Arabidopsis thaliana: one gene and its partners. The protein of the gene in region 3 purifies or fractionates together with the protein of the main gene of each other region. This does not show direct contact. Each region holds a gene or a part of one and is shown on either strand. Other genes may lie near its edges. The genes, in order: ACO1, ACO3 and AT1G07750.

Evidence for each region.
Region 1: the proteins of AT1G07750 (region 3) and ACO1 fractionate together in Arabidopsis thaliana (co-fractionation; one large-scale study listed by BioGRID). This does not show direct contact.
Region 2: the proteins of AT1G07750 (region 3) and ACO3 fractionate together in Arabidopsis thaliana (co-fractionation; one large-scale study listed by BioGRID). This does not show direct contact.

Annotation. Positions count from the first base shown.
Region 1 is NC_003075.7:16,969,666-16,981,427, forward strand, and holds ACO1 (aconitase 1), read right to left. Parts: upstream 8,497-11,762; 5' UTR 8,285-8,496; coding exon 8,281-8,284; exon of another isoform or gene 8,129-8,280; coding exon 8,024-8,128; intron 7,918-8,023; coding exon 7,757-7,917; intron 7,653-7,756; coding exon 7,560-7,652; intron 7,469-7,559; coding exon 7,283-7,468; intron 7,199-7,282; coding exon 7,037-7,198; intron 6,915-7,036; coding exon 6,770-6,914; intron 6,656-6,769; coding exon 6,513-6,655; intron 6,416-6,512; coding exon 6,359-6,415; intron 6,259-6,358; coding exon 6,179-6,258; intron 6,099-6,178; coding exon 6,023-6,098; intron 5,782-6,022; coding exon 5,596-5,781; intron 5,513-5,595; coding exon 5,445-5,512; intron 5,361-5,444; coding exon 5,242-5,360; intron 5,156-5,241; coding exon 5,034-5,155; intron 4,943-5,033; coding exon 4,844-4,942; intron 4,755-4,843; coding exon 4,275-4,754; intron 3,934-4,274; coding exon 3,835-3,933; intron 3,761-3,834; coding exon 3,518-3,760; intron 3,411-3,517; and 3 more. Other genes in the region: AT4G35810 (2-oxoglutarate (2OG) and Fe(II)-dependent oxygenase superfamily protein), read left to right, coding at 1-64, 129-258, 346-533, 623-693; AT4G35820 (2-oxoglutarate (2OG) and Fe(II)-dependent oxygenase superfamily protein), read left to right, coding at 1,556-1,867, 1,966-2,087, 2,176-2,273, 2,377-2,476, 2,578-2,764; AT4G35840 (RING/U-box superfamily protein), read left to right, coding at 11,418-11,574. UniProt on the Arabidopsis thaliana protein: Catalyzes the isomerization of citrate to isocitrate via cis-aconitate. Contributes to oxidative stress tolerance. May have a role in respiration.
Region 2 is NC_003071.7:2,137,290-2,148,863, reverse strand, and holds ACO3 (aconitase 3), read right to left. Parts: upstream 7,536-11,574; 5' UTR 7,274-7,535; coding exon 6,994-7,273; intron 6,901-6,993; coding exon 6,796-6,900; intron 6,719-6,795; coding exon 6,465-6,718; intron 6,381-6,464; coding exon 6,195-6,380; intron 6,018-6,194; coding exon 5,856-6,017; intron 5,691-5,855; coding exon 5,546-5,690; intron 5,453-5,545; coding exon 5,310-5,452; intron 5,238-5,309; coding exon 5,181-5,237; intron 5,094-5,180; coding exon 5,014-5,093; intron 4,929-5,013; coding exon 4,853-4,928; intron 4,722-4,852; coding exon 4,536-4,721; intron 4,454-4,535; coding exon 4,386-4,453; intron 4,294-4,385; coding exon 4,175-4,293; intron 4,063-4,174; coding exon 3,941-4,062; intron 3,830-3,940; coding exon 3,731-3,829; intron 3,652-3,730; coding exon 3,172-3,651; intron 3,085-3,171; coding exon 2,986-3,084; intron 2,904-2,985; coding exon 2,661-2,903; intron 2,583-2,660; coding exon 2,514-2,582; 3' UTR 2,186-2,513; and 1 more. Other genes in the region: AT2G05720 (Transducin/WD40 repeat-like superfamily protein), read right to left, coding at 649-1,043, 1,237-1,672. UniProt on the Arabidopsis thaliana protein: Catalyzes the isomerization of citrate to isocitrate via cis-aconitate. Contributes to oxidative stress tolerance. Modulates cytosolic citrate metabolism during lipid mobilization. Required during seedling growth.
Region 3 is NC_003070.9:2,400,959-2,409,371, reverse strand, and holds AT1G07750 (RmlC-like cupins superfamily protein), read left to right. Parts: upstream 1-3,322; 5' UTR 3,323-3,508; coding exon 3,509-3,704; intron 3,705-4,109; coding exon 4,110-4,830; intron 4,831-4,918; coding exon 4,919-5,072; 3' UTR 5,073-5,380; downstream 5,381-8,413. Other genes in the region: RPS15A (ribosomal protein S15A), read left to right, coding at 307-439, 531-691, 861-959; AT1G07747 (Bifunctional inhibitor/lipid-transfer protein/seed storage 2S albumin superfamily protein), read right to left, coding at 5,527-5,814; RAD51D (DNA repair RAD51-like protein), read left to right, coding at 6,530-6,617, 6,914-6,993, 7,094-7,291, 7,501-7,635, 7,736-7,828, 7,926-8,016, 8,114-8,184, 8,269-8,413.

The DNA of each region.
Region 1 (11,762 bases), on a different chromosome or scaffold from region 3:
GGACATGACGAAATAGTGGAAGAGATTGAGAATAGGATTTCAGATTTCACCTTCATTCCTCCAGGTAATGTTTATATCGGTTTCTCTGTCTTGGAACTCATTGTGGAGTTAATGTAATGGAATTACAGAAAATGGAGAGGGGCTGCAAGTTCTTCATTATGAAGTTGGGCAGAGATATGAGCCTCACCATGACTATTTCTTTGATGAGTTCAATGTCAGGAAAGGAGGGCAACGAATTGCTACAGTACTAATGTACCTGTGTGTAGCCTTTAAACCCTTACAATAATCTTTCTTATTAGCCACAATGTGTTTGTTAATCTTCTTTCTTTGATTTGTACTTATTAGCTCGGATGTCGATGAAGGCGGAGAAACAGTTTTCCCTGCAGCCAAAGGAAACGTTAGTGATGTCCCATGGTGGGACGAGCTCTCACAATGTGGTAAAGAAGGACTCTCTGTTCTGCCAAAGAAGAGAGACGCTTTACTCTTCTGGAGCATGAAGCCTGACGCGTCTCTAGACCCTTCTAGTTTGCATGGTGTGTCTTTCTTGAAACTTTTTTAAATCTCAAGGAACCCATTTGATATCTGAAACCAAACCTCTCAAAATCTTTTCTGATTGGTATAGGTGGTTGTCCAGTGATCAAAGGAAACAAGTGGTCATCAACTAAATGGTTTCACGTTCACGAGTACAATTGACTTGAATAAAAAAGAAGATAGATAGCTTTTGAAGATGTAAAGCTCTTAAACCTCACTTTAGTGATGAAAGCTTTGTATTGTCTCAAGATTGTTTCAATGTTTCTGTCGTCTTTGGCAGGTCTCTATGATCTCACCAACATGTACTAATATGTGTGTATCATTGTCAATTTCATCCTGATACGTCTCTCAGGAGCTCTCAAACGCTACACCAACAAAATCACGTTATGGCATTTAAGTTAAAATCTTATTGATACACATAATATATAATTATGTACACGAACTTTTTTCCTTTTGTCGTGTTTAGTATGAAGGAAAAAAAAAAACACTGTTAAAATTTTATTATCTTGCGGTATATTCAACAAACAAATAAATATACAGTTGAGTAGTTAGACTATTTCAAGTACGATAATTGTTTTATTCCACACCACACTTATGAGTTGAACTCTTTCCAACAATCTACTGTTGAGATATTTTACCTAGCTGCAAATGTATTTAATCCACTGATAAACACAAGATATACACCTGCATACATGAGGTGAAGAGTCATCATTTATAAAATTGACCAAAACCATAATGATAACAAAAATGAAAATTAAAATAACTTGCCGACAGGTGTCACTCTATTACTTGCTGACATTCATTATTAGTTTTTTTTCCAATGATTTTCATATTCTAGTTGTATTGATTTATTTATTTTTGTTCTTTGGACTTGTATAAAAGGAGGATCAGACGGCAAAAAAATATATATTAGAGTTTGTATTTTATGAACTCACACAATTCATAAAAGGAAAACCCTAGATTCGTGTTCTCTCTAAGTTTTGTTACGAGTTCATGTATATTTTCTGACTCACTTGTGAACGCAATGTCTAAGTCGACGTCAGTGTCTACCATACTGTATCTGAGGCAGAGGTTGCAGGGGCTGAAGATATATGAAACTTCAGATCTAATACAGCACATCAACACGTTCGATGAATTAGTCGGTGAACAAGTGTCCGTGGATGTGAAAATTGAGGAAAAAACTAAGGACATGATCTTGTTGTGTTCTTTGTCCCCTTTGTTAACAACACTTACTTGTAGCATGGTGAAGGTTGCTGCTTCGTTACGCTTTCCAAACGAGCGTTGGCTCGAAGTCATAACGAAGGAGCCTAGAGCTTTTGTTTACCATAATTTCTTGGTAATTCTCTTTCACTCCTCCAGTAAACACGCATATATAGCTAGGGAACACATGTTTCTCTCATGATTTATATGCAAATGTTTAGGATTTGATCTTAGGCTCTCTTCTTTAAAATTTGTAAGACAAACGAAGAATGTGATCACTTGATTAGCCTCGCGAAACCTAGTATGGCGAGGTCCAAGGTGCGCAATGCGTTAACTGGACTTGGTGAAGAAAGCAGGTTATGTACTCTATTTTCATTTGATTTTCCCTCTTTAATTAAGTTTAGTTTGGAAAGATTTGAGATTTGGAAATATGTTAATGTGCAGCTCACGGACGAGTTCAGGAACTTTTATTAGAAGTGGACATGACAAAATCGTCAAAGAGATTGAGAAAAGGATTTCAGAATTCACCTTCATTCCTCAAGGTATGTGGCTTCTGTTTTTAAACTGGCCATAGTTTGGATTTTCTTACCAAACAAGGTCTAAGATCATTACATTATTGTGAAGTTTTATGTAATTTATGTGCAGAAAACGGAGAAACGCTTCAAGTTATCAATTATGAAGTTGGGCAGAAATTTGAGCCTCACTTTGACGGATTTCAAAGAATTGCTACGGTTCTTATGTATCTGTATGTAAACCCTTTATAATCTTTCTCATCAGCCATGTAAAAATTTTACAATATTTGCATAAGTTAATCTTGTTTTCTTTTCTCATCGTATGACTAATTAGCTCGGATGTTGATAAAGGCGGCGAAACAGTTTTCCCTGAAGCCAAAGGAATTAAAAGTAAAAAAGGAGTCTCTGTTAGACCGAAGAAGGGAGACGCTTTACTCTTTTGGAGCATGAGACCCGACGGGTCTCGAGACCCTTCGAGTAAGCATGGTAAGAGGCATTGCCTTTCTCTAAACTTGTTTTAAATCGTAATAAACCCTTAATTATAACTTGTTTGAGATCATGAGATGTAAAACAAATTTCTCAAAAATTTGTCTGTTTGATTTAGGTGGGAGTCCAGTAATCAAAGGAACCAAGTGGGCATCAACCAAATGGTTCCGCTCTCATAAGTTCATCAACTCTACACAACATTCCAAGAGGTAATCTCTGACCATCACTTCGAATGTGATAATCAATCCTTTGGATCATCTCAGATTTTTTTTAATGTTTTTGTACAACCTTCACAAGATAATTTTCATCCTCTAGCTCTTTAGATTACTTTGTGTATTTGTGTTTATTTTCTAATGGTAGAGTATACTTCTATCAATGCAGCATTGACAATGCTTATGAACAACAACAACAAAAAAAGAGCTCGCATGTTTATTTGAAAGAAAAAAAATGACTCGACAGTGATAATGTTTCCAATTGACTAGCACGAAGCAAGAGACGAAGAAGAACAAAAGCAAAAGTTTAAATTAAAGTCATTCTCGTCCTCCTCCCTGCAAACATTTTTATTGCAACAAACCTTGGGATATATAACTCAAGTCTCTGGTGTTACCAGATTTATTGTTTGATCAAGTTCCTGATAACGTATTGCAAAATCCCTCCGTGATCGAAATAAGCCAACTCCACCTGTCGATTCCAAATTCCTCTTACTTATCTCATCTCATTTTGTTTTAGAGCTAAAAAAAAAACTCAAAGACGAAAAGACGAAAATATATCATCTAGAGATAACTTACCTCTGTGTCAAATCGGAGTGTACATGTGAAAGATTTGCCATTGTTTGTGACGACTGTTACATCTTGTCCTGGTTTGATCTCACTAACATTGTTTGGGAGCTCAATGGTGTAAAGCTCCTGACCCGTTAGGCCAAGGGTCTCAGCATCTTCTCCCGCCTTGAAGCACAAAGGTATGATTCCCATTCCCACCAAATTGCTTCGGTGAATTCGCTCGAAGCTCTTTGAAATCACAGCTTTCACACCCTGTTGTCACAATTTTTTAAAGAAACCGCATAAAATAAGTGTAAGAACGTGTTTGTTAAATACAGAAAATGTACCAGAAGCATTGGACCCTTGGCAGCCCAATCACGAGAACTTCCACTACCGTATTCAGCACCAGCCAAAATGATTGTGTCGCGTCCCTCGTTCCTATATTTCTGGTACAGCACGAGGAGAGAATAATCTGATTAAAACAAAGCTATGAACTGCTATTCTAATTCCAACTGACCAAATCAGAGAATCAAACAACAAAATTTCCACCCCCAAGACAATCTGCTGAGACATTATTATTACCTCAGCCTTCACTAACTGTTCTATAAACCAACTCACAACAGCTCTAATCTACTACATTCAGTCCTAGGCTAGATACAGTAGACCTATAGCTAAGAGTAGAGCTGTAGTGCTTATTCAAAGCTTATCGTAATCCTACCCCAACCTCATGACCAAAGAGCTTGAATTTGATGTTTTCAAAAGGATAAAAAAAAAAGTGAGATTATACCATGGCAGCATCGAAAACAGAAAGCTTCTCTCCAGTGGGAATGTGAACTGTTTTGGGACCAACTTCTCCTTTCAAGTGTTTGTTGACAATACGGATATTTGCAAAAGTGCCTCTCGCCATAATCTCATCATTACCACGGCGACTCCCGTATGAGTTGAAGTCTCTTCTATCCACACCTCGTTCCATCAAGTACTTAGCCGCAGGACTGTCCTTGTGGATGCTACCAGCTGGTGAGATGTGATCAGTGGTAATACTGTCTCCAAAATTGAGTAAACAGTATGCGTCTTTCACACCATGTGGACCGGGTGGAGACATGGTCATGCCCTTGAAATAAGGCGGCTCGTGAATGTAAGTTGATTTCGGGTCCCACTCATAGAGAGTACCTGACGCCACAGATAACTGATTCCACATGGAATTTCCTTTGGTGATTGCTTCATATGTAGCTTTGAACATATCAGGAAGGACACTAGATTGAACAACCTGAAAAATCGAAACAGAGAATTTGGCATCCCCTCCACTTATAATATCTCATTGTTTACGTATTACACAAGTAGCCCATATATATTTACCTCAGCAACTTCTTTGTTAGAGGGCCAAATGTCCCTGAAAAATATCTGTTTTCCATCTTTCCCAGTTCCAATGGGCTGTGTCTCAAAATCAATGTCAACCTACAAGAATATTCATGTGAATGATTCTGTGCTTCATATAACAAGAATGCTTGAATGTTGTGAAATGGCTTTAGAGTTAGCATTAACATACAGTTCCAGCCAGAGCATAGGCTACAACAAGCGGTGGGGAAGCTAGATAGTTAGCTCTTGTTAACGGGTGAACACGTCCCTCAAAATTTCTGTTCCCAGACAACACAGCGGATGCCACCAAGTCTTGTACATATATGAGAAATCTTTTAGTTTGACCTTCGAAAATTCAAGTGAAGAAGCATTACTTCATTAACTACTTAAGGAATTACCATTATCAACTATTGCTGAAGCCACAGCTTCATGGATATCCCCCGAGTTTCCAATGCATGTGGTGCACCCATAACCAACGATACTGAAGCCGAGCTGATTCAAGTACTTCTGCAAGCCACTGCAAGACTTGAAAACTCAGGACCACACAATACAAAGGATAAGGAAATAAATAACAAAACATTCAACGGTGTATCTGCAGCACCTCTTTGCCAAGTACTTTGTTACAACTCCAGAGCCTGGAGCAAGACTAGTTTTGATCCATGGCTTAACCTAATAATTGAGAAATTTCAAACACTTCTATTATTTCCATTGCACATAAAGATATTAAATCACTATCACACAAGTAGTCAAACCTCCAGTCCTAGGTCGCAGGCCTTTTTTGCAACTAAGGCAGCGCCAAGCATTACACTAGGGTTTGAAGTATTTGTGCAACTGGTGATTGCTGCTATAACAACATCTCCATGTCTAAGCTGTGCTGTGGTCCCGTTAAAATTGAACTCTACAGCCTTACTCTGTGCTTCTTTAGGTACAGCGAAACCCTGGAAAATCATGGATAAGTAGTATCACTAACCACTATTTTTGAAAAAATGGAAGTAGGTTATAAATTCAGAAGTGTTGCAGAACGTACAAGTTAGTTTATTGGACCCGCTTAAAGACTCGAATACGTACCATTCTTTCAAAATTACAGTAACAATAGCTAGAGGTGTCATAATTTCCTACAAATTAAGCTCTCGGGACTGCAAGCATTCACATCTTCTCAACAGAAAGGAGAGTACTAACCTTGAATCCTACTCTATTGTCCAAGCAAGAATGCCAGTCCGCTTTCATTTCCTTCAAAGGAACACGATCATGAGGCCTGTATTGTGCACAGAGAATAGACATTGTAAGTAGAATGGATCCTAGATAATTTTCTGTCGAATCATTCACTAATAGTACCTCTTGGGACCAGAAACACAAGGTTCCACATCCTCGAGATTCAATTCCAGACATGAGGAATAAACTGTCTTACTCTCCGGCTGAGATGTGCAACAAGTTCCAAGTGAAGCATATGTTATGCAAATATGATATATGACAATAGGCATAAGAAATGAAGTATTAAGGATGCCCAAGGTTTACCTCACTGTAATCCACAAACATCTTGTTTGCTCGTAAATACGCCTCTATCATGGAGACCTGCAATCCAATTCACAAATCAATACCATTATGAAAGTCTTTAACACACTAAATAATGAAGATTTTCCCAAATGTGACATTTTGTGCATTTTCTTACAGTGTCATCGCTCCTGCCTGTCAACCTTAGATACTGCAAAGTGACATGATCGACTGGGAAGAATCCCATGGTCGCACCGTACTCAGGAGACATATTGGCAATTGTAGCACGGTCAGCTAAAGACAATTCTCTCATCCCTTCCCCTGTGTATGAAAAAGCAGTCGATGCATATGTGAGCTAGCCTAACTCGGTAAGGTACTATGTAAGTAAATAAGAGACATATATGAAATATGATATCAAATCTTTTATCAACGTACCGTGGAATTCAACAAACTTTCCAACTACTCCATGTTTCCTCAACATCTGAGTCACTGTTAAGACCAAATCAGTAGCTGTCATTCCATCTCTTAACTTTCCCGTTAGCTTGAAACCCACAACACCGGGTAGGACCATGCTCATTGGCTGCATATAAAGAGATGGAAAGTCTATTAGAATTATTGAAAGGATGTAGTTTAGAACCAAAGTTTCAGAAAGAGGTTAGACAGTTAGCTATGAGTTCTCGACCGAAAGAGCATCTGATTTACCTGACCAAGCATGGTAGCTTCCGCTTCTATACCGCCAACTCCCCATCCAGCAACACCCAGTCCATCAATCATAGTGGTGTGAGAGTCTGTGCCAACAACACTGTCTGGGTAAAGAAGTCCATTTGTGTTGAAAACAACTCTGGCAAGGTATTCTAGGTTGACCTGTCAATTGCAAAATTATAGAATTTAGCATAAAAATACTTTAAGTTTCCAAGCAATACCGTTGTCCCTGAATCCTCTACTTACTTGATGAACTATTCCAGATCCAGGAGGTACGACAAGCATGTTGTGAAAGGCGTTGGATCCCCACTTAAGAAAAGCAAATCTTTCCTTGTTACGCTGGAACTCAAGCTCCATGTTTGCCTGCACTGCGTTCTCTGATCTCGCCACATCCACCTGAACGGAGTGATCAATGACAAGATCTACAGGGACCTGCAATTATCAAGGCCTTGTATCAAACCTTATAGCATACCAAAAGAACACAAATCATTAACCAATCTCAGTAAAAAGCGAGGAAACTAACCAGCGGATTAATTTTATTAGAATCACCACCGAGATTATTCATGGCATCTCTCATGCAAGCAAGATCAACAACAGCAGGAACACCAGTAAAGTCCTGAAAAACAAATAGAAAAAATGATATCACATTCTAGCATTTTCAGGAAATCAGAAACATCATTATGTCATCAAGAATGTGTATAGCAACCAATCATTGTCTACCTGAAGAAGAACCCGAGCAGGCTTGAACGGAATCTCAACCTGCTTGGGAGAAGTATTCTCCCAATCAAGAATCTTCTCAACATCTTTGCTCTTAACTTGGAACTCATCACAGTTACGTATGGCCGATTCAAGAAGTATCCTAATGGAATAAGGTAGTTTATCTGCATCCACCACAACATTTCTCTCATAAAACTCTCACCAACGAGATCATAACAACGTCTTCTAACAAAATATTATAATATCTATCAGAGATAAAAGGAAACTCACCGATCCTGGGATCGTTCAAAGCAGGTAAGCTGTAGTAGTTACCGAATTCACCACCATCAGGCTTCTCTAACGCCTTCAATATGCTTCGGAAAGGATTCTCGGAAGCTGAAAACACATCAGAAACAGAGATCCACACAGCAAATCAAAATACAGAACCAGATTTCAAAAAAACGAAAAATAGCTGGAAAATCAGCATCGGCGAGAAGAAGAAATAAGAAACATGAATCATTTTGGATCGTAAACAGATAAATCGATACCCATGGATGATAGATACAAGTCGAGTGAAGAAGCAAAGTAGAGAGATCTGTTTTCAGAAGAGAGAAAGTTTATAAGCGGAGTTGGTGAGGCTACACGAGCCTGAGCCGATTCAGATTTTTTTTATATGTAAGAAGGAAATAAATCTGACAGATCCGTGGTGGGCTCTTTTCGTCAGAACTGATGGCTGTTTGATTTTTATTTTTATTTTATATTCTATTTTCTTAATTATCCAACTTTTTTTTTTTGTGAATATCCATTCTTTGCTTTTTTTTGTATCAAGTGAATTATATCTGTTCAATCATGATTTTATTTTCACAAACTTATAATCCACCAATCTGATATGTGCCTCTTCTCTATAGTATCTAGTTTTATGTAATCCAATTTTCTTCAAGGTTTCTCAATTTCACATGGCATTGATTGATTAAAAAAACCTTAATTTCTGACAAACATATACAATCAATGATCGTCGTTACAACACACCAAAAAAAAATACACACAATGACACAAACATATACAAGACACCAAAAATATTCAATGATCGTCGTTTATTTCACCACCACCTGGTGACAAAACCAAAAAATATCGCCACCAACCTGCATGCAACGATTTAAAAAAAAAAAAAATATATATATATATATATATATATAAAAAACATTTTTTTATTTTGGAAATGGGTCGCTCCGTTCGAAATTTATGTTCTGATTAATTTGGGCCTAGCCCAGTTTAACCCATCTTTGTACCCAGTTCGGTCTAGCCCAGTTTGGTTAGAGATTAAACAATGTCGTTTAGCTGAATGGTGTGTCCAGATGGAAAGCTGCTGAGATGATTAATTATTCTACCCCTCCTTGTTTAGTTTTTCAGGCCATGATTAAAATGTATAATTAAATTTACTCTTAGGAACACTTCAAGTCTCTTAAATTTTATAGTCTGTATTTAAATATTGTCCATCAATATATTACTATCCACCTAAAAATCTACTAACTATTAACCTGAACGTGGTCAGTGTATATATCTGCTTTTAAGAAACCTCACTAGTTTCAGTCCCTTGAATCTGAAGCACCTTTTTATATTTTTAAAAAAGTTAAGAAGATGTACGTATATAGATTACGAATTACATCGTCTTTGTTGATAAATATCGAGAACTATATATGTTTAACGAAATCGTTTTAGATTTGGCGTGGCTCATATTTTTTTTTTATGTAAGGACAATTACATACTATTGTTATCTCTTTCATTTATCGTCTCTTTTTAGTTTGTTTGTTTTTGATAAAGAACTCTCTTTTTTAGTTTGTTTGATCGTATATAAGTTTGTTTATACGATCTTTTAAGCTAATATCAATAAGAAAGAAGTTATAAAAAAAAAAAATTGTTTATTTTAATATGGACGAAAGCTTATAAAGTATCTTATATTTATGGAGTTGATTTGATGATGCTTCCATACAATTACAAATAAATTAAGGAGCAGATGCAAGTGGTGGCCGGGTTAAATTATCAATCACGCCAACACAAAGACGCACCACCGGTAAAAATGTGACTTTGGTCAGCATGTAGATAACCTACCAATCATAATTATATCTTCTTTGTCTATTTGGCTTTTTCTTTTCCTCTCTCTTTATATTATTATACATCCTTATAGGTAAAACATTCTGTTACTTTCACTTACCCATTGTTAATATTTCCCTTAGAAAACACTTAATTCTTTCTCACAAGATGCAAATACGTACTCATAAAATATTATTTAATTTGTATCATGTTCAATAATATCCTCTCTCAAATATAGAATTGTTTGTAAAATGATTAGAGGAGAGTGGTGTGGAGACCAAATTTTAGTCCAAGTACCAGTAATACGAATTTTTCTTTCAAGAGAAAAACTAGTAAAACACGATCGGCCAAGTTCATTACAGTACATAGAGAAACTCACTCTCAGCAGTGAAACTAAACAATACAAGACATGTATGTAAGTGACACGTAACTATATATCATGCAAATGCTTAGATTTCAATTTAATCACTCATGGGACCAGCTTCTGGACCATTAATTGCCCCATAATGTCTATAAATTAAAATACAGGTGAAATATATTGGGGTAGATATATATTTTTTTTTTATCATGTCAACTATCTAAGGTAGATAGATATTTTTAAGAAATACAGTATGTTAAAAAAAATCGTCATAGAGCCTTGTCAAATATATTCAGTAAACATAAATACTATATGTCATTATTTCTGTCCATCTTTTGAAATTTTACATATCAACAATATTATTATTATTATTTTGACTAAATAAAGAAATATGAAAATTTCAAAGTTATATAAATGATCCGATCATGCAAATACTCATTAGATGAGACATACGCTGCAACTAATTATCTCTTGAAATGATTAATTAATCGGCTTACCACTGTAGAGATCGAAAAACACAGAGTCTTGGAATACAATTATACAGAAACGGTAAGGGTAATCATTCAGCTTCTCGCACGTAATAGCACAATAACAAAGTCTCACCGTACCCATTTTAGTTTGGTATAACAATAAAGTATTGCTCATATTAAGGTTCTTACTATAAAAGGAAAGGAAGAATCAAAATAAGATTTTGAGATTTCCTCAAATAGTTAACATGTATAGAAATTATTTCTGTTTCGTATCTAATTGTTTCTTCTGATTGCTTGTATGATTCGAAAATGATCGACCCTACCATATTTTGGTATTATTCAGACAATCTAAATATCTCCCGTAGTTTTCTTATAATTAAAATCTAACACATTTTAAAAATTTATGTAAAAAACGAAGAAGTTATTTTATTAAACTATAAATAACCTTTTCTTTATAACTCTCTGCTTCTATCTTTCGAGCATTGAAATGATTAAAAAAAAATTAGTGGTGTTTTCAACATAGATCATGACAGGCAAACCCTAGATTTTACTTCACCTACTTGAGGTTAAAAAACTTAATTGCAAGTAGGCCAGACATCGGATCTTCTCTCTTAAGGGCTAAGCAAAACCCATCTCTCCTCTTTCTTCTATCTTCTTTCTCTTCCTTCTCTCTTCTCTTGTATAAACTCCACTGAGCTCTGTTTTTGTTTTTACCGTAGATCGTTTCGAGTCTCTTTAATCTTTGGCGGGTTCCGTAAAAAAAAAAATGGCCTCTTCTAGATTCCAATCTGGGTTTTGTCCTATCTCTTCGTGTCCCTCTCTTGAGAATTTCATCGAAAGGATTAAAGACGCATGTCGTTTCACCCTCTCCGCTGTTCTAGGGACAATTCTCTCGGCGGTCTTGACTTTCTTCTTCGCTTTAGGTCGGTCTCTTGTTTCCTATTACAATTTCTTGATTCTTTTCAAGAATGTCTCTCCACTTCTTGGAAACTTTTATGAAGCTTTTTGTCCTGCTTTGGATTGATTTGATCATTGATATCACTTTACTGTTGAGTAGGGTAGAATCTGCAACTTTGGGTTTTTATGTAGAGCTAAGAAAGTTGTTTCCTTC
Region 2 (11,574 bases), on a different chromosome or scaffold from region 3:
ACTTGCCATCATCCATATATACAATCTTTGATGGACATCTTACTTGTCATGTTCTTCTCTTTTATTTGAATCAGATCAGATCAGAACGCTTGAATTAATACATCTGCATTTTTGTTTTTTCAAGCTTTGCATTCACTTTCTTTCACATGTTTGGATGATCAGTAGTTATAAATATCGGTATAGTATATTTGTGCAAGTACCTTTTAAAATCCATTTAATAGTAAACAAATGTTCGATCGGAAATGGATAAACTGTCATATAATTATTTACTTAAAATATAGTAACAATGGATCTTAAAATGTAGGAAAAATGAATTCTTGATTTATTATATAAGAAAACAGACAAAACACTTTATATTAAGTAACTAAAATAATAATAAGAGAGAGAATGAGAGAGAGAAAAAAAAAAAGAGGACCGTTATTTTTGAAAGATAAAAGTGTATGGTATGTAGTTGGGGGCGTTTCGGTAATAACACAGGAAAAAAATTGTTTTGGAAGATGAAAGTGTGGGAGTGTAAAATGAAAGATGAAAAAGTATGTGAGAGTGTAAAATGTAAATAACTCAAAAACAAACTAGAGTTCTATGTCCATTGTTTCTCTCCCATTATCTTCATCATTCCCACAGCATGTCCAAAGCTTTATGGTGCGGTCATGCGAAACACTTGCGAGACGAGCTATCTACAGCGATATCAAGAGATGCGACTTTTGACTCATGTCCTACTAAGCTTTTAACAAGCGAGAAATCTCTACCTGACCATATATTAACGTTCATGTCGTGTGAGGCAGTAGCCAGGAAATAGCGTTCTTGTGGTTCGTACTTTACTTGAGAAACGAGGTTCACATGAGCTGGTATAATATACAACAACTTTCTCATCCGTAGATCCCAAATACGGCATTGATTATCTTCACCACCAGATGCCAAATGATAACCATTAGGAGAGAAATCCACCGAGAGAACCTGTTTGATATGTCCTTGGAAGATAAGAATATTCCTAGCCGTACGAAGATCCCAAACTCTTGCAAGCGAATCAAAACCCGAAGAAGCTACTAATGATCCATCTTGTTGAAATGCAATTCCGTAGACACTACGACTATGACCTTCTTGTGTTAAAGCATCTCAACTCCTATGTTTATATCCCACAATCTCCATGTTTTATCAAAACTCGTTGTCCGGAGGCATCTCAACACTACGACTATGACGGGTGGAATGCAATGCGTGCAAGACGATCTGAATGACCTTTAAAAGTTTGTAGAAGTGTTCCATCCGTTTTCCATATCTTTTCAGTTCGATCAGTAGAAGCAGTTGCTAGACATTCATCATCCACAGACGAGAACACTACATCAGTTACATGTTCTTTATGACCTTTCAAGACAACAATCTTGTTTGTAACTTGAGGCACCTCCCACAATTTAGGAACCCCACTAAGAGAACATGTGACGAGTATTTTTCCATCTCGTGATAAGGAGCAACCAGTAAGAGGACGATCATCCCCAAATTTACTAGAACCAAGAACCATGTCTTTACAATGCTTTAAAGCCAATTTAGTCTCAGCATTTTTATCTTCATCTGGATCATTCCTTCGCCGATTTTCACGCTGAATCCTTAGAGCAGCTCTCTTTATAAAATCTTTGGTAATTTCTATTCTAGCCTCTCTAAGCTCTGTTGGACCCATTGGTATAAACAAACTTTTGAAACAAGATCTAGAAGAAGCTCGTGACAAGACTAGTTCACTTAGAAGACAAGAAGGTTTGGCTTACCAAAGCTCTTATTTATAGCAAAGTAAACGAGATGGATCAGAAAGAAAGAAAGGAAATCTATTAAAAAAGTGGGTTATTGGGGTTAGCTTTGAATTGTGATTTGTCTCTTAAGTCTAAATTCGATAGGAAGCAGTATTTTTATCCAGATCTTCTTCAAGGTTATCAGATTTGGATATTCCTCTTGAGTTTGGTGGTGGACATAGGAGATTTTGGTATTACTAGGGTTCATATGGAAGAAGATGCTGGCAAGTTACTTCATTCAGACACAGGAGATTACTCTCAGGTTCATATGGAATTTATGACAAGTTTCAGTTTGGTTTTATCAGATTCTTGTATTGGTTTTAGGCTTCAGCTGCAAGATGTTTGTGTTTCTTATGTATTAGTTGGTTACTCTAATGGTGCAAGTAGATTTGAATAGAGCAGGTGTTCTTGAACATGATCTGAGAATTGGTATAGATGCTGCTGAATACGCTTGTGAAATGCAACAGATTGCGAGGTCTTTGGGAGTCAGTAATGGGAATATGCAAGAAGGCTCTCTTATTCCTTTTCAAAAACAATAATATTCAACTCTTGCAAGTTGCGAAACATGGGAGCCTAAGCGTGTAAGAATAACCCACTGAAACTCATATATTGCATGAGATCACTCACCTTTTAACCTAATCCTAGACAGACTTATCTGCCTTTTAAAAAAGACATTTTAAAACAGAAACAAACACTCTTTTATTTTGCTCCATAACTTGTGTATTGCTTCCTTCACTATTGCTTGCTCAAGTTTCTGATAACATATGGAAGTATGCCTCCATGGTTAAAGTATGCCAATTCCACCTGCACATTTATTTTACCATTATTAGTTCCTTCACATTGAAAAGCTTTTTTTCACTAAAGATTGGAGTATTTAGTTACCTCTGTGTCGAAGCGGACTGTGCAAGTGAAAGATTTTCCGTTGTCGGTAGTGACGGTAACATCTTGGCCAGGTCTTATCTCTGAGATATCGGTTGGGAGATGGATCGTGTAGCGTTCGTGACCAGTCAATCCAAGAGTATCTGCGTCTTCACCGGACTTAAAGCACAATGGGATGATTCCCATTCCCACCAAGTTGCTTCGGTGAATCCTCTCAAAACTCTTTGCAATCACCGCTTTAACACCCTGACAATCCCAAACTTGTTGTTTCAGAATAAAACAGTAAGATTGGTTTATGCGGAAAGAAACTAGAGAAGCGGTTCTAAACCTGTAGCATGGGTCCCTTGGCAGCCCAATCACGTGAGCTACCACTTCCATACTCAGCTCCAGCCAGAATAATTGTGTCTTCACCAGATGACTTGTACCTCTGATACATTTGACATTATGATAAGGAGACATTCGACATGATCAACATACAGTCAGTAATACAAATTTTAATTAGATAAATACAAACCATGGCAGCGTCAAAGACTGAGAGCTTCTCTCCAGATGGAATGTGAACAGTCTTAGGGCCAACTTCACCATTCATGAGCTTGTTAACGATACGGATATTAGCAAAAGTACCTCTGGCCATTATTTCATCATTCCCACGGCGACTTCCATATGAGTTGAAGTCCTTACGGTCAACGCCACGCTCCATGAGAAACTTTGCAGCAGGACTGTCCTTTTGGATGTTTCCAGCTGGTGAGATGTGATCAGTGGTGATACTGTCCCCAAAATTGAGTAAACAGTAAGCATCCTTCACATTGTGTGGACCAGGAGGATCCATGGTCATGTCCTTGAAGTATGGAGGCTCGTGAATGTAAGTTGAGTTGGGATCCCATGAGTAGAGGGTATTCTCAGGAACAGACAGCTTATTCCACATGGGGTTACCCTTGGTGATTGACTCGTACGTTGCTCGGAACATGTCAGGCAAAACACTGGATTGAACAACCTGATCCATATGTCAAAAGATTAGTTTAATATTTGTGTATAAAAAAGATGTTATTGTTCTCTGGTTAAGTCGTATATACCTCAGCAATTTCTTCCGTGGTTGGCCAGATATCTCTTAAGAAGACGTCCTTGCCATTCTTTCCTTTGCCAATAGGCTCCGTTTCAAAGTCAATGTTAACCTGGAAAATAAGAAAGAAGAACGCCAAAATTACCAATGTGATAATCAGTCATGTGTCATTATCTCATACAAAATGTAAGTTGAACTTTGACAAGTTCTCAAGATTTATTACCGTGCCAGCAAGAGCATAGGCAACCACCAACGGAGGAGATGCAAGGTAATTGGCTCTTGTTAGTGGATGAACACGCCCCTCAAAGTTCCTGTTACCGGATAGCACAGCAGCCGCCACAATGTCTAAAACCAAGCAACACAAATATTGAAAACAAATCAGCTACTTACTTATATATAATAGTAATATAAAGGATGGAAAGTCCAAAGTAAGTTTAGTTGGGAATCTCAATAATACCATTTTCGGTAATAGCAGCTCCCACTGATTCATTAATTTCCCCAGAATTCCCGATGCATGTAGTGCACCCGTAGCCGACAATATTGAAACCCTGTTCATTCAGATATTCTTGCAATCCACTGCATGGAGTAAGATGTTACACTTAAATTTACCATCACATAAGAAAGAATTAGCCTTTAACAACGAAGAACTAGATAAAAATACGACATACCTCTTTAATAAGTATTTTGTAACAACTCCTGAGCCTGGAGCAAGACTTGTCTTTATCCAAGGCTTAACCTACAGAGGCAAGTTTTTGAAAAAGGGATCAGAAAATGTCGAGGCATCAGATAGATTTCTAGTTTGCTCTCGTGAAACCAACCTGTAGCCCAAGGTCACAAGCCTTCTTTGCAACAAGACCAGCACCAAGCATGACGCTGGGATTTGATGTATTAGTACAGCTTGTGATTGCAGCAATCACCACACTTCCATGTTTAAGCTCTGCTGGTTGTCCATCGAACGAAAAATTTACCACTTTTTCTTGTGCCTCTTTAGGTATAGCAAAACCCTGCGGAGAATGAATAGCAATATTCAGAAATAAACATTGATTTCCAAAATGTGCACCAACAACCCAGTCTATAGAACGAGTAAATGGTTAAGAGATTAGACATCCACAAAGTGAAACATCCAGTTACATACCTTGAACCCAACTTTACTGTCAAGACATGAATGCCAGTCAGCTTTCATTTCCTTCAAAGTAACACGATCATGTGGCCTGCAAAGAAGATATCAATAATATGGTCATGACCAATTATTCAGACAATAAACTTCGCGATTACAAAAACCAACAGAACCCATACCGCTTTGGTCCAGAAATGCAAGGTTCAACATCATCCAGATTCAGTTCTAGATATGACGAGTAAACCCGGTCTTGCTGAGGCTGAAATTTATTCACAAGCAAAGTCAAATAAAAACCTGAAAGGAGATTAAGAAACAAAAAAAGAAAGAAAGTATAAGGCTAATTTACCTCATTGTAGTCAACAAACATATTGTTAGCCCGAAGATATGCTTCAATCATAGCCACCTGCCATGAAAGTATTGTATCAGACCAGATATCTGAATATATATAGAAGGAAGATTAAAGTCAAACACTCACTGTCTCATCGCTTCTTCCAGTCAATTTGAGATATTGTAGAGTAACATGATCCACAGGGAAGAAGCCCATGGTTGCACCATACTCGGGAGACATATTGGCAATTGTCGCCCTGTCAGCTAGGGACAGCCCACTCATGCCATTACCTAAGAAGAAAAAAGTAGACTTATAATGCTCCAACAAACACATGTCTATTATAAAAGAGCAAAACACTTAAGAGCTCACAAGGATATAATTACCATAAAACTCAACAAACTTTCCAACAACGCCATGCTTCCTCAGCATTTGAGTCACTGTTAGAACCAAATCAGTAGCTGTTACACCATTACGCATTTTTCCGGCAAGTTTGAATCCAACAACACCAGGCAATACCATACTCATGGGCTGTCAAACCAAAAAAGCGTTATCAGTATAAGAAAAATTCACAAACCTCACTGTATTGGAGCAGAAGAGTCATAAAATATAGTGATCTAATCTAAAATTCAGTAAAGTTGACTCCAGATTAACCAACATCTGATGTGCGTCATGTAAATAATCAAAATAATTTACCTGGCCAAGCATTGTTGCCTCAGCTTCAATACCCCCAACACCCCATCCAGCAACTCCCAAACCATCAATCATAGTTGTATGTGAATCAGTTCCAACCACGCTGTCTGGGTAGAGAAGGCCTTTGGTATTGAACACAACTCTTCCAAGATATTCCAAATTGACCTGAATTTTCAAGATGAGGTTAGTTTGAGACAAACTTCAAGACAGATAAAAGAAGATAATAAATGAAAAGAAACATTTCAATACACTGGAAACATGAGGTTGAAAAGGATATATATCAATGTCAGAACAAGTTTAGAAACAACTTATGGACTCGCACACTTTAAAAAAGAGAATTACCTGATGCACAATACCAGAGCCAGGAGGCACAACAAGCATGTTCTGGAACGCAGTAGAACCCCATTTAAGGAAAGCAAACCTCTCCTTGTTCCTCTGGAACTCAAGCTCCATGTTTGCTTGCACTGCATTCTCTGATCGAGCTACATCTACTTGAACCGAGTGATCAATCACAAGATCCACCGGAACCTGAGAGACACAGTATAACATAAGAAATCTAAAAGAACCCTAACCTAAACAAAAAGCATCAATCTGTGGCAAACAAAAACATACCAAGGGATTGATTTTGTTGGAATCACTTCCCAGCTTATTCATCGCATCACGCATACAAGCAAGGTCAACAACAGCTGGGACTCCCGTAAAGTCCTGAAGAAGAACACGAGCTGGTTTAAAAGGAATCTCTACTTGTTTAGGAGATGTCTTTTCCCAGTCAATAATCTTCTCAACATCTTCCTTAGTAACTTGAAAGTTATCACAATTACGAATCGCAGATTCAAGCAGAATCCTAATAGAGTAAGGAAGTTTATCTGCAAATACAACACTCCTCTTCAGATTCTCAGGTCCTTCATAAACTCATTCAAAGAGAGATTCAAAAAATCCATACCAACTCGTGGATCGTTAAGAGCAGGTAAGCTATAGAACTTTCCGAATTCACCACCACCAGGCTTAGGAAGTGTAGTGAAGATCCCTTTAAACGGATGCTCTGACGCTGAAACAATCATAATCACAAAACAGTTACTACTAATCAACAGAGATCGGAATAAAAAACTCAAGCTAGATCAATCAGATCGAGATATTTTACCCATGGAAGAGAAGGTTCTCTGGAGACGATCTAAGACTGGAGAAACAGCTCTGATCTGAGAGGTGAAGCGAAACGGAGATGGTTTCGAGTGAAAGGAATGGCTCCAGCGACGGAAAGCAGGGGAAATGGTACCAAAAGATCTACGAGCGAGAAGAGACGACGGAGAAGTAGATGAAACGGAGGGAGATAAAACCGATCGGAAAGAGAAAAGAGAAGAAGAGCGAGAAGAAGCAGCTCGGATGATGGAGGAAGAAGCGGAAGATGAAGCGGTTAAATACATGATGATGAAATCACGCTTCCAGATGCAGATTCAGATACTGACAGAGAAGATGAAGAAGATAAGGTTATTGATTGATCAATTGGGATCGATCATGGAGGATTTTGAATCTGACGTCGGAGTGATGAATGATTGAAGAAGCGAGAGAGAGAGAGAGGCGTGTGGAGACGAAACGAAAATGCCTAGGGCTGCGTGCCAATAAGTCAATCTTCCCTCTCTCGCAAGGGAATATTTTTTTTTGTTTACGGTATTTTTTGGATTTTAATCTACGCAGCCCCTCTCCTCCACATAATTTCTATTTAGCCCCTATTATTAAAATAATATATATTTTTATTTATTTTAATTTAAATAATTACTTAAAAATCAAATAAATCTCATAACATTTTTACCTGTTTGAAAAAGACAACGTAATATATAGTTTCTTAATATATAATCATATATATATGAAAATTGGTCAACACTCTCCATATGAATGACACACCATCACACAAAAGCATCACACAAAAGTTTGACATATATCATTCTATATTTTTAAATTTAAAAAATAATAAAATTAAAGGTAATATTAGTAGATAACCAAATAAAACATACAAATTAAGAAACTAGCAGAGATAAAGTTTTTTGTTACAAAATAACCATGGACCCACGTTGTCGGAAGAAAGGAAATAATAAAGCTATCCTTTATTTGTTGTAAGATGAAAAGTAAACGAAACACATCCGTGTAATTTTTCAAAATATCATGTAACATTAAAATTTCACATGTTATATTTAGTTTAAAAACATGCTATTTCATAATACGTTATGAATTTTTTTTTTTAAAACATTATTATGAAATTCTTTTACATGAACAGAATCTTAAAACAAAAATTATATGTGATTTTAATAAAAACCATGTATTACTAAAAAATAAGAATATTTTTAAAGAAATCACGTGTGATCTCAATAAAAAACGTGTATTACTACAAAATATCATGATAAAAAGATATATTAAACTGAATACAATGTTTTTTCCAAAAAATAGCATGTGCTTTTTATAAATACTATGTAATAAGAGAAAATAACAAGTGTTCTCCAACATGTTTCCGACAAGATACTGTGACTCAAGGTTAGTTTGTACATTCTTTTCAAATCTATAGTCATTTATTATAAATACTCTAAAATTAAATGTATGATTAATCCTATTCTTAATTGATTCAAAATAAAATAAAAAAAAATTATGTTAATAAATTAAGCACTACTTTCATTATACTCTTTATTTTATTAAATTTTTATTATCAATAATCACTACTAGATAATGACTTTTTTTTGTGTTGTAGTTGTTTGCTACCAAACCTCTTATTAGTTTAGTATATATTATTCTCATGAACATATTTTCGTCATTAGTTTTCTAACGTTGTCCTTCGCGATTCATCATTAGTTAGACCGATACAGATTTCTTATGTTAATCTTATTTAGAGATCTAAAATCTACATATACATTTTTCAGCTACTTTAACAAATAAATCTTGTACTTGAACTTATTTACAATGTCATGCTATTGACATTAATTATTAATAAATGAAATATTTAATTAAAGATGTAAATCAAAATTAGTTTGGTAAAAATTGCTAAAACACTGGACACATCTTTACTAATATTACGGCAATGATCATTTAGAAATCTAATCATATATATGAAAGTTGGCCAACTCTTTCCATATGAATGACACATCATCACACAAAAAAATGACATGTGTCATTCTATATTTTTTAAATTAAAATATTAATCATATTAAATAAGCAAATTAAATGTATCATCAATCCTACTCTTAATTGATTTTTTCAAGATAAAAATAAAATAAAAAATTATGTTAATAAATTAAGCACTACTTTTATTATACTCTTTTTATTTTACTAATTTTTTTGTGTTGTACTTGTTCGTTACCTAACCTCTTATTAGTTTAGTAATTTTATTTTGAGTCTTTGATAACATTGACACTCAAGTTTTTTCAAATAATAAACCTTTAAAACGTTAGACTTACCAAATAATTTAATACACGATCATTTCTCTTATATTGATATATGCAATGAGAGAAGATCTAAAAGTATTGACTTAAATACTGCTTTAATTTATGCTTTTTTTTTTAATTCTTTTCATATGAATACTTTTGAAATCTTGTTCAGTTTATATCAATTCTATATATTTAATCATGAGTCGATAACACTAATTAACTAGATTTTAACCCGCGGTATACCGCGGAGACAATTTATTTCCTTAAAGTTAGTATATATAAAAGTTTACAAATTTTATCTATCTATAAAATATTTTTATTTTATAGTTTACAATTGTTATTAAGTAGCTTCCTGCCAAACCCGTCCCGCCAACCCGTCTCGTAAAAAAAACTATTTATTTTATTAATGTTGATCTTATTTATGATATGTTTATGAATCATTGTCTAAATATTTTATAATTTTGTAGTAATTAATTGCTATCAAATATCTTTACGGTTTGCTGCTTATAATCGAATTGTTATAGTCATAAAAAAAAAGCAATATCAAAAATGATAATTTTGTAGTATTTAAATGATATTAAATATTTTGGAAATTTTATTTTAGTAATTAATCGTATAGTTAATGCAGAGAGATTTTGGAAAGGTAGTTAAATGCAAATATTTAATTCGAAGATTTACTTTCTAATTATCAAAAACAATTATTAAATGCCGGTGGCAGCCACTGTAAATAAGTCTCAACTTGAAGATTTATTTCACAAAGTGGCTGCAAAAATGTATATGTAGATTTCAAATAAACCATCACATTATCAAATAATCGTGCAAGGTTTGATATTATGGTCATATTTTGTATTATTTATTTGGTTTATTTTGTATTATTCTCACATAAAGAAAAAAAAGTTAAAGTGGTCATCGTGTTATAAAAAAAAAAAAAAAGTTAAAGTGGTCATGTTTCATTTTCTTGAATATTATCTACTGGATTTTGTGATATCGAGTAAAAAGTTACCATTTTACTGTAATTTCGATTTTAATGTTTCTATGTTGGCAATGTCAATTAGTTTTGAAAAAATATTCAATATGTTAACCCAAAAATCTTAATGATATCAATTTAGAGTTATATGATGGGACGGGTTTGGATTGATATTATTACAAATTTATAGTATCATCAACCCAAAGTAATAACACGGTTTAAATGTAATTTTAATATTTTATCAGCCTCAGTTTCTTTTTTTCCAGCACTAATAAAAAATTATTAACTTTAATACTAAATAAAAAATTATGAAATCTAATATTATTATATTTACTAATAAAAAAAAATTGCACATCATATAGTTTTGTACATTGAGAAAAATACAAAACAATAGGTTATATAATAATATTAATTAATTAAGAAAATTACAGTTTGATTTTTTCTAGAAAAATATAGTACCGCGGGTTAAAATCTAGTGCTAATTAAGACTACATACAAAGATAAGAGTTATAGAACTACAAATAAAGTGGCATCTAAGTAGAAAACAAAGTAGAATAAATAAAAATTACAAAAGACATAAATTCTTAAACAAAAATATTGAAATGGGCATCAAACACGGAGAGCCTGAACAAACTCCTGATAGATGTCGACAACAAATCTCATCCTAAGATTCTCCACGACTTCCTCAGTTATGCTCTCGTGGCTAACGTATTGGAAATGAAGGTCTAATTAATTATAAGACCACTCTCTCAAATAAGAGATCGATTGTAGTACATTAGGGTCGAATTCCACAAAACTCTCGAATCACACAATAGACTAATAGTTTCGAATAAGCTAAACAAATAAGTAAGAAAATAAAATAAAACAAGAAAGCAAATAATACATTATGAGGATGTAAATTAAGATAATAAAAGCGTCAAGCTTAGGGTATTCTCAGGAAATATATGATTAGTAGATCTAGAAATAGCTAGGTTGTTATCAAACCGTTCTTCATTTTTAATCGTCTTTCTTCTTTTTCGGTCTAAAAACTCTATCCAATAGAAACTCTATAAATTAATACTCGATAAATTAATAAACACGATAAATTAATAAATTTTGCAAGTCTCAAGTCGGGACAATGTAAAAATTAACCAAAATCGATAAGATAATAAGATAATAATTTTTTTGAAATCCCTATGTAAAATTATAGTCCCAATAATATTATAAATTAATAATCATAGATTTTAAGTATATATTTTAAGACTAATTTTTATATGAAATTTTTGTTCAAGCTACAATTACAACTCTTTTTAAAATACAACTAGTATGATCTCTGTTGTACTCACATAACTATTTGCGTATTTGATCC
Region 3 (8,413 bases):
TTCACATCAGAAAATTTAGGATCTTAGAGCTTTTCATAGTGAACTTAAGAACGCTTTTCGAATTAGTCAGTCTTAGCTCTATTTTGTCTGTGTGTGTATTTTCTGGACACAAGACCTTTGTTTCAATTTCTATAAGTGATTTCGGTTTACATTTTAAAAGCTTGATTTATTCCCATTGAAATAAATATTCATGATGAGTAAATCTGTGCATTTGTATCAAATTTTTAGTGCTTTGCAGATTTTATTTTAACGCAAGCTCTTGTTTGTTGTTTGACTTGTTTAGTAGAGGATTGAGCTTAAGGCAAGATGGTAAGAATCAGTGTTCTTAACGATGCTCTCAAGAGCATGTACAATGCTGAGAAACGAGGCAAGAGGCAGGTCATGATCAGGCCTTCCTCCAAAGTGATTATCAAGTTTCTGATTGTCATGCAGAAGCACGGTATGATTATCCCACCAGATTTTATATAATAGAGATTCCTAAGATTCTCGGATGTTGTTCCTTAAATTATGTGGTTACCAATCAAATGCAGGTTACATTGGTGAGTTTGAGTATGTCGATGACCACAGATCTGGCAAGATCGTCGTTGAATTGAACGGAAGGTTGAACAAGTGTGGTGTTATCAGCCCACGTTTTGATGTTGGTGTCAAGGAAATTGAAGGTTGGACTGCCCGTTTGCTCCCTTCTAGACAGGTTCGCTCTTCTTATAAACTTTCTAGTTACAGTGGCCTTATGAATTATAAGATCAAGATTTGGAAATGTTTTTGAATCACTTTGCATACTGTCCCGAAACATCAATAGTAGTAGCTTTGTTTAATGCTCGCTAATGGTATTAATGGATTGAAGCTATTAAATTGTGCAGTTTGGTTACATCGTGCTGACTACATCTGCTGGCATTATGGACCATGAAGAAGCTAGAAGGAAGAATGTTGGAGGCAAGGTTCTCGGCTTCTTCTATTGAAGTTTTATTTTATGGGGAAACAGATTTTCATTGAGTTATTTTTAACTTTTGTCCTCCATTTTCTCTGAAACTACCTTTCTCTTTCTTTCGAATTTTGTGATAACTTTGATGGATAGTGTTCTGAAATCACTCTTTTTGGTTTGGAGCCCTTTTTTAGACTTCGGATGCACTCGTAAAATTATTCTAAAAATCTCTGATTTGGCTAGTCTCTTACCTTCTCTTTACCGGCTATAATCTCTAAGTTGCGGATAATGCTCTAATTAGTCATACGAGTTCATGTATCAAACGACGTCGTAATAACTCGGAACAAAATCATTGTTGATCTACATCATATCATCTACATTGAGGCTTAAAACATCATATCAATACCTTAGGATCATTTAGAATTCTTAGAACTGATTAACTGTAGATGAAATCACAGCAACGGATTAATACAATATGCGGTTATAAGTAAAAAGAAATAAGAAGCAAAAAATACTGACAAATCATAGTTGTTATATCATCAAGAAACGTGGAAAACAAAAGAAGAAGAAAAAAACTCTTCAAGAACCAAATGCCAAAGGAACATAGTTGCCCAATTTCTAACTCTAGTTTTCACCCATAAAATGGATCACACCTTATTAGAAAATGGTCTTACGGATCACACTTCCTTCTCCAGCCAAATATGGCCCCCGTCTCATCTCATCTCCGGCGATGGGAGCTCGAAAGTACCTTCATGTATTTAGATATGTAAGAGATAAGAGAGGAGAGAGGAAGGTTTGATGAGGAGCATCCATTGTTGATGGTCTTTTCGACCTTATCAAAGGAGAAGCCAAGTGAGAGAGACGTTTCATTTTGGGTTTATAGACCAAAAAAGTGGTCATTTGTGAGAGTATCTTCGAAAGCATATGCTTTGAACCATTAACTAAGCTGACCTGAGTCCCATTATTACTACTTTTGATTTTCTTCTTCTTTTTTCTCTTTTGTTAGTATATTAAAATCTATTTAAATTATTGAGGCGAGTAACATGGGTTGCTTCGCCACAAATCAAAAGTAGAAAAAAAGTGAGGTCCTCTTTTCTTCGCCTAGTTGTTTCTCATTGGACTGCTTCCAACTCTTGTTGGTTCTGTCAATTTTACGAGGTTACCAAATTTGGTTCAGTTTTGTGAATCACTTGGGAATTAGGTTACGTTGGTATTCTTCTGCGTTTATAAAACGTGCCTATGATCTAAGTAACTACCCAAGTCATTGTCTCCAGCTAGTGGAAAGCGACACGTTACTGATGTTAGAGTTGATATGATTTGCATATTTTCTTGTTTTAAAGCACATTTTGTGTTTGTGTTTACAATTTTACATGAAACGAAATTAACATTCCACCAACCATCAATTATACAAGTGCTATTAAATACAAGATTTAGGTCAGCTGTCTAATGCAATGGAACTTAGCAGCAATTTTGAAAAAAAAAATATGGTACTAATAGCATATTGTTGTGATAAATATTACTATCTGATCATCACAGTCATTCAAGTGGCTGTAGTTTAGTGGTAAGAATTCCACGTTGTGGCCGTGGAGACCTGGGCTCGAATCCCAGCAGCCACACTTGTTTTGGTTATTTTTTCATTTTTATTTTACATGGGCATGTGATTAGCTTTCTGCTAAAGCCCCTTAAGATAAATGACACTGATGGGCCTAAGTATTTTCTCTCGGGGGGATATAACTAAGCGTTATGATATATATTTTTTTGTTTTTGTCATCTAAGCGTTATGAATATGCAAGTTAGATATAATAATAATTAGGCCAAAATTAATTACATATTTATCCATGTTAAACTAATCCTTAATAACAGCAATTCTTTCAACTTATCCATCACGTTGCTCGTTGGATTAAATTAAAATTATAACAGTCTGTTGCTACTTATATTTCTGGATAAATCCTTTACAAAATTAGAGAATATACAATCCTGTCAGCAGATCCCATCCTTAAAAAATTAGCAAAAGAAATATAAAATCAGCGATTACCTTAGATAAAAAAAACATACGATTTTTGAATTCATCCTTTAATTTTATCTTTAAGGTAACAAAAAAAGGAAAACATAATCTTAAAATCACCAAATTGGAAAGAAATATGGTGACATAATTGAGAAAATATTTACAACAAATATTCTGATGATTCGATTTGACCAAATAATACAGCACTTTTAGTAGATTTATTTAAATGTCTCAATTAGTATTTGTTTATGAAAAAAAAACGAAGAACGTGATGGATTAACAAAAATTATCTCCTCACAAAGGAATCTTTATTTGGTAGGCAAAATATAAATTATATCGTGGGCATAAAGAAATGGATAAAATTTGGATTAAAAACGTTAAACAAGAATTATCCACAAGTAAATCGTAACGCAATCAAAACGCCGAATCAGTCTCTCTATTAGTAACGGATTCACCCTAAGCCTCTCCTATATAAATACGTGTCGCATCTCTTTCACATTTCACATCAAAACTTACTACTTCTTCTTCTTCTTCCTTTACCAAATCTTTTCTTCTTTACTCTTTTTCATCGTCGAGAAAAAATGGAGTTGGATCTTACACCTAAGTTGCCCAAGAAGGTTTACGGAGGAGATGGTGGATCTTACTCTGCCTGGTGCCCAGAGGAGTTGCCGATGCTCAAACAGGGTAACATTGGAGCCGCTAAGCTTGCTCTTGAGAAGAATGGCTTCGCTGTCCCTCGTTACTCTGATTCCTCTAAGGTCGCTTATGTTCTTCAAGGTTCGTTTTTTTCTATAAAAGTTTTCTACTTTATTGCGATCCATGCGTTTTTGTATAATGGGTTTGTTCGATTTCATCACTCTGCTTCTTCTTTTGAGGGTTTTTGATCTTTTCTATGTTCTGATCTTCTTTATTGCTTTAAAAGTTGTCAACTTTATGGTAATTCATGCACTTTGACCACTGTGATTAGGTTTATTGTGATGCTGATTCTATGATCTGATTTTTGTTGTAGAAAGTGAAAAATATGATAGTCAAATAGATCACGACTACTGTGTGCAAGAAAAAAAAGTAGTCTTTAGCTGTTTTTGTTTTGCTTAATCACGTCTTAATCGTTGATCTGATCAACCTCGCGTGTAAGGAATTGAAAGCTTGTTTATTTGACTCTTTTTCAAATTTCTGTTTCAGGATCTGGAACTGCTGGAATTGTTCTCCCAGAGAAGGAGGAGAAGGTGATCGCAATCAAGCAAGGTGATTCGATTGCTCTTCCCTTTGGTGTGGTCACATGGTGGTTCAACAACGAGGATCCTGAGCTTGTTATCCTCTTCCTTGGTGAAACCCACAAGGGTCACAAAGCAGGGCAGTTCACTGAGTTCTATCTTACTGGCACAAACGGTATCTTCACTGGTTTCTCCACTGAGTTTGTTGGCAGAGCCTGGGACCTTGATGAGAACACCGTGAAGAAACTTGTTGGTTCTCAAACCGGTAATGGCATTGTGAAGCTTGATGCGGGCTTTAAGATGCCACAGCCCAAGGAGGAGAACCGTGCTGGGTTTGTCTTGAACTGTTTGGAGGCTCCTCTTGATGTAGACATCAAGGATGGAGGCAGGGTCGTTGTCTTGAACACCAAGAACCTTCCTTTGGTTGGAGAGGTTGGCTTTGGAGCTGATCTTGTTCGGATCGATGCACACTCCATGTGTTCGCCTGGTTTCTCTTGTGACTCTGCTCTTCAGGTGACTTACATTGTGGGTGGAAGTGGAAGAGTCCAGGTGGTTGGTGGTGATGGGAAAAGAGTTCTTGAGACCCATATCAAAGCTGGTTCTCTCTTCATTGTTCCAAGGTTCTTTGTGGTTTCTAAGATTGCTGATGCTGATGGCATGTCTTGGTTCTCCATTGTCACCACTCCTGAGTAAGAACTTTTCTCTGCACTTTCCTTTTTGAGGTTTGAAATTGAAAGAAACTAATATGTTTGAAACTTTTTTCTTGTGTGTTTGTAGTCCGATCTTCACACATTTGGCCGGGAATACATCGGTGTGGAAGTCTTTGTCCCCTGAGGTTTTGCAGGCAGCGTTTAAGGTGGCTCCGGAGGTGGAGAAGTCCTTCCGATCCACGAGGACTTCATCAGCCATTTTCTTCCCTCCTTCCAACTGAAGAAGGAGAAGAATGAGAACAAGAACCAGCTTTTATCTTTTATCGTTTGTTGCTTTCCCTCAGAGATTTTTGAGGGTTTTTACTTTTCTTGTGATTCAAGGAAGTTTCTTAGTCTAGTTGTTTAATTCTCTTCCTGCCTTTTCCCCCTGGACCGGTTCTTGTTCTCGTTGTTTTAAAATATTAAAAAATCAACCTTTCCTATATTTTACAGTCTTCCTTCTTTTCAACTTTTGGAAAAATTGAATCAAAAGAAATTTGTCTTCCTTCAAATTCTCACTTTCATATTAAACTTCAGAATTTTGATGGTTCAAAAAGAAATTCCAATTACTGTAAACAAAAATTCCAATCAAACGAACACTATATTGAAAAGTAAGTTCATGTAACGATGACTGATAAAACATTACAACATGTGATTTTGATGACATGAAAAGTAAGAATGGTTTGATAACTACTATTAAAACCTTTGACAAACAGGAACAGGTACACCACACGCTTCTAAAACTTGTTTAGCAGATGTCATATATGGAGCAATCAATGGGTTTTTCAAGTACTCACAAAAACACGACTTTTTATCTTTCAATTTTGTGCAACATTTTGTCGATGGTGGGGTTTCGCCTATTATATCTGGTAGGCATGCTTTGAGATCTGTCACGACGCATGCCGCTTTCTCCTCTGCTTTGGTCGGAGCCATTGACGAGAGAACAAACGCAACGAAAACTAATGTAGTGAACTTCATCTTCATGTCTTGTAAGTTGTAACCTTAAGTTTCTCCTTCTATCTAATTTCTAGTCTTGCTTAGAAAATGCTTGAAATAATCGATTACGAGATTTGTTTAAGAATGGAGTAATGTTTTGCAGTATAGGCTGATGTGTGTGTTTTAGGTATATATATAGTGTCGACTGTCTTTAATTGTTGATTACTGGAATTAAGCTAACAAATTTGAAAGCACTGCCTTTTATAGAAACTGGAAAGATTTAATTATAGGAAATGAATCAATCAGTTCACATGTGTATATACAGTTTGGAAATGTTCGAAAATACATATAGAAGTTTGATATTAACAAATGATTTCAATCAATGAAAATCTTCAAAGATTTAATATAAATAAAATTTCTTTGGAAAGTAATTAAATAGGAAAAAAAAAATAAGAGATCTGGAAATTTATAAATTTATTTGGTTTAGGTTAACTGAGTATCGGTTTAAAATTGAGGTGACCAAGGATGTTAAAATGGGCTAAAAGTTTAGGGCCGGTCCGGATCCGTTGAAAAATATAAGCTCTGGGCCTGATAAAATTGAATGAGAGATTTTCGGGCTAAAACAAGGCTGGCCCTATTTGCGGTTTTCAGATTGGGGTAAACCGGGATTAAGAGTCTGGGTCGTGAAAACGAACCGGAGGCTAATTGGATTTGTTCTTCCTTCTCCACATTCCAATTTGAGGGCAGTGGAGGTGTAACAACAATGGCGCCTCTCAAACATCTGGAGAAGGAAAATCCAATCATCGACGCATGTTTCCAAGATTTCTGCGCCTCTCATGGAATTTTAACAAGTTGTGTTCTACATCTTCTCTTCTTGTATCTCGTTTTCTCGTATCGATTCTATTTGATTTCTCCTGTTTGCCTGCAAAAAAACGACTGTGGTTGGCATATGAACATGAGAAACACAATTGCTTAGTCCAATTACTGTAAGTTCACTTTAAAAAGTTTTGAATTCTGGAATCTGGATAGTGCGCTGTTTGATATTTGATCGTTTAAGCTAAAGGTGTTCGACGAATTAGATTTTTGTAGTTATAGAGTCGGATTCGGTTTGGAATGTTTGTGTTGATGGCTTTTCTCAAAATTGCAGTTGAGGATTTCCTTCTGCATGATCTCTACGAACTTACTGCATTTTCTCAACGGCAGACAAATGCAGATAGATTGAAAGAGGTTTTTAGCTTTTTACTTAACGTTACTGTCGATTTTTGAGGTTTAATTGTGTGTGTGCGCTCAAAGGTATGTGACATATGTTTTCCTTCGGATGCTTCAGGGTATCACTCTCATCCTCTCTTTGATAGAACGTCAGTGTCGGCCATTGGTGAATGGTTTAAAACTGTTGGAGGATCTACACCGTAATAAACATACTCTGTCGACTGGAGACAAAGAGACGGACTCATTGCTTCAAGGTGGATTCCGTGAGGGTCAGCTTACAGAACTTGTCGGACCTTCCTCTTCTGGGAAAACACAAGTATGTATTTTCTGTTAGGCATTTCACTATTCATGTTTTTGTCTTGTCTTCTGTGTGAAAATTATTCATAGATAATCGTTTTAAATCTTTAGGAATTGTAGATTGTTTCATTCAAACAAAGAGACTGTTCCTAGAAAAAAAGTGTTGTCTTTGCTTACCCTTTTTTTGTGCTCTCTCTTTACATTGTGTGATTTCTTATGAATGACTAGTTTTGCATGCAAGCTGCTGCAAGTGTAGCAGAGAATCATCTTGGCAGAGTCTTGTATTTAGACACAGGGAACTCTTTTTCTGCCCGACGCATTGCTCAATTTATCTGCTCCAGTTCAGATGCTACTTTAGGGCAGGTTTATTTATTTCTTGTACCCTAGCCTATGACCCAGTTCTTTAGTCAATCACCAATTATTTATGTTTTTAATCTTATGGACAAGAAACGTATAAGTGCAGAAAGTCATGAGCAGAATATTATGCCACACGGTCTATGACATATATACACTGTTTGATACGCTGCAAGATCTAGAGATTACTTTGAGGTTGCAGGTATTAAGCTAGCTAAAAGATGCAATCTCCTCAATGTCACTTTAATGTCTATATTCTTAGTGTTAACCATGAGTTATCTATTTCTTTTCACTTGCAGATGAATGTGAATGAGTCCCGACTACGATTGTTAGTTGTTGATTCAATCTCTTCTCTGATTACTCCAATCCTTGGAGGCAGTGGCTCACAGGGTACATACCCTTGTATGTCTATCACTTTTTCTTCACCTCAATGGTTAACAGTTGTGCGGGTGATTATGAAGAATGACTCAGAAATTGGTGTGTGCAGGACGCGCTTTGATGGTGGCAATTGGATATTTGCTTAAGAAGCTGGCTCATGAACATAGCATCGCTATACTGGTATTAAAGAAGTTTCAGGCCATTAAGCGTGTCCTTGTGCTTTAAAGTCAAAACCTTTTTTTTGTGTCTCCTTGTGTATTGAAGGTGACAAATCACACGGTGGGTGCTGGAGGAGAAGGTGGTAAAACCAAACCAGCTCTTGGGGAAACATGGAAAAGCATCCCACACGTGAGACTTTCGCTATCACGTGACCATAAGAACAGCAACTGCACCATCTCCATCTTAAAAC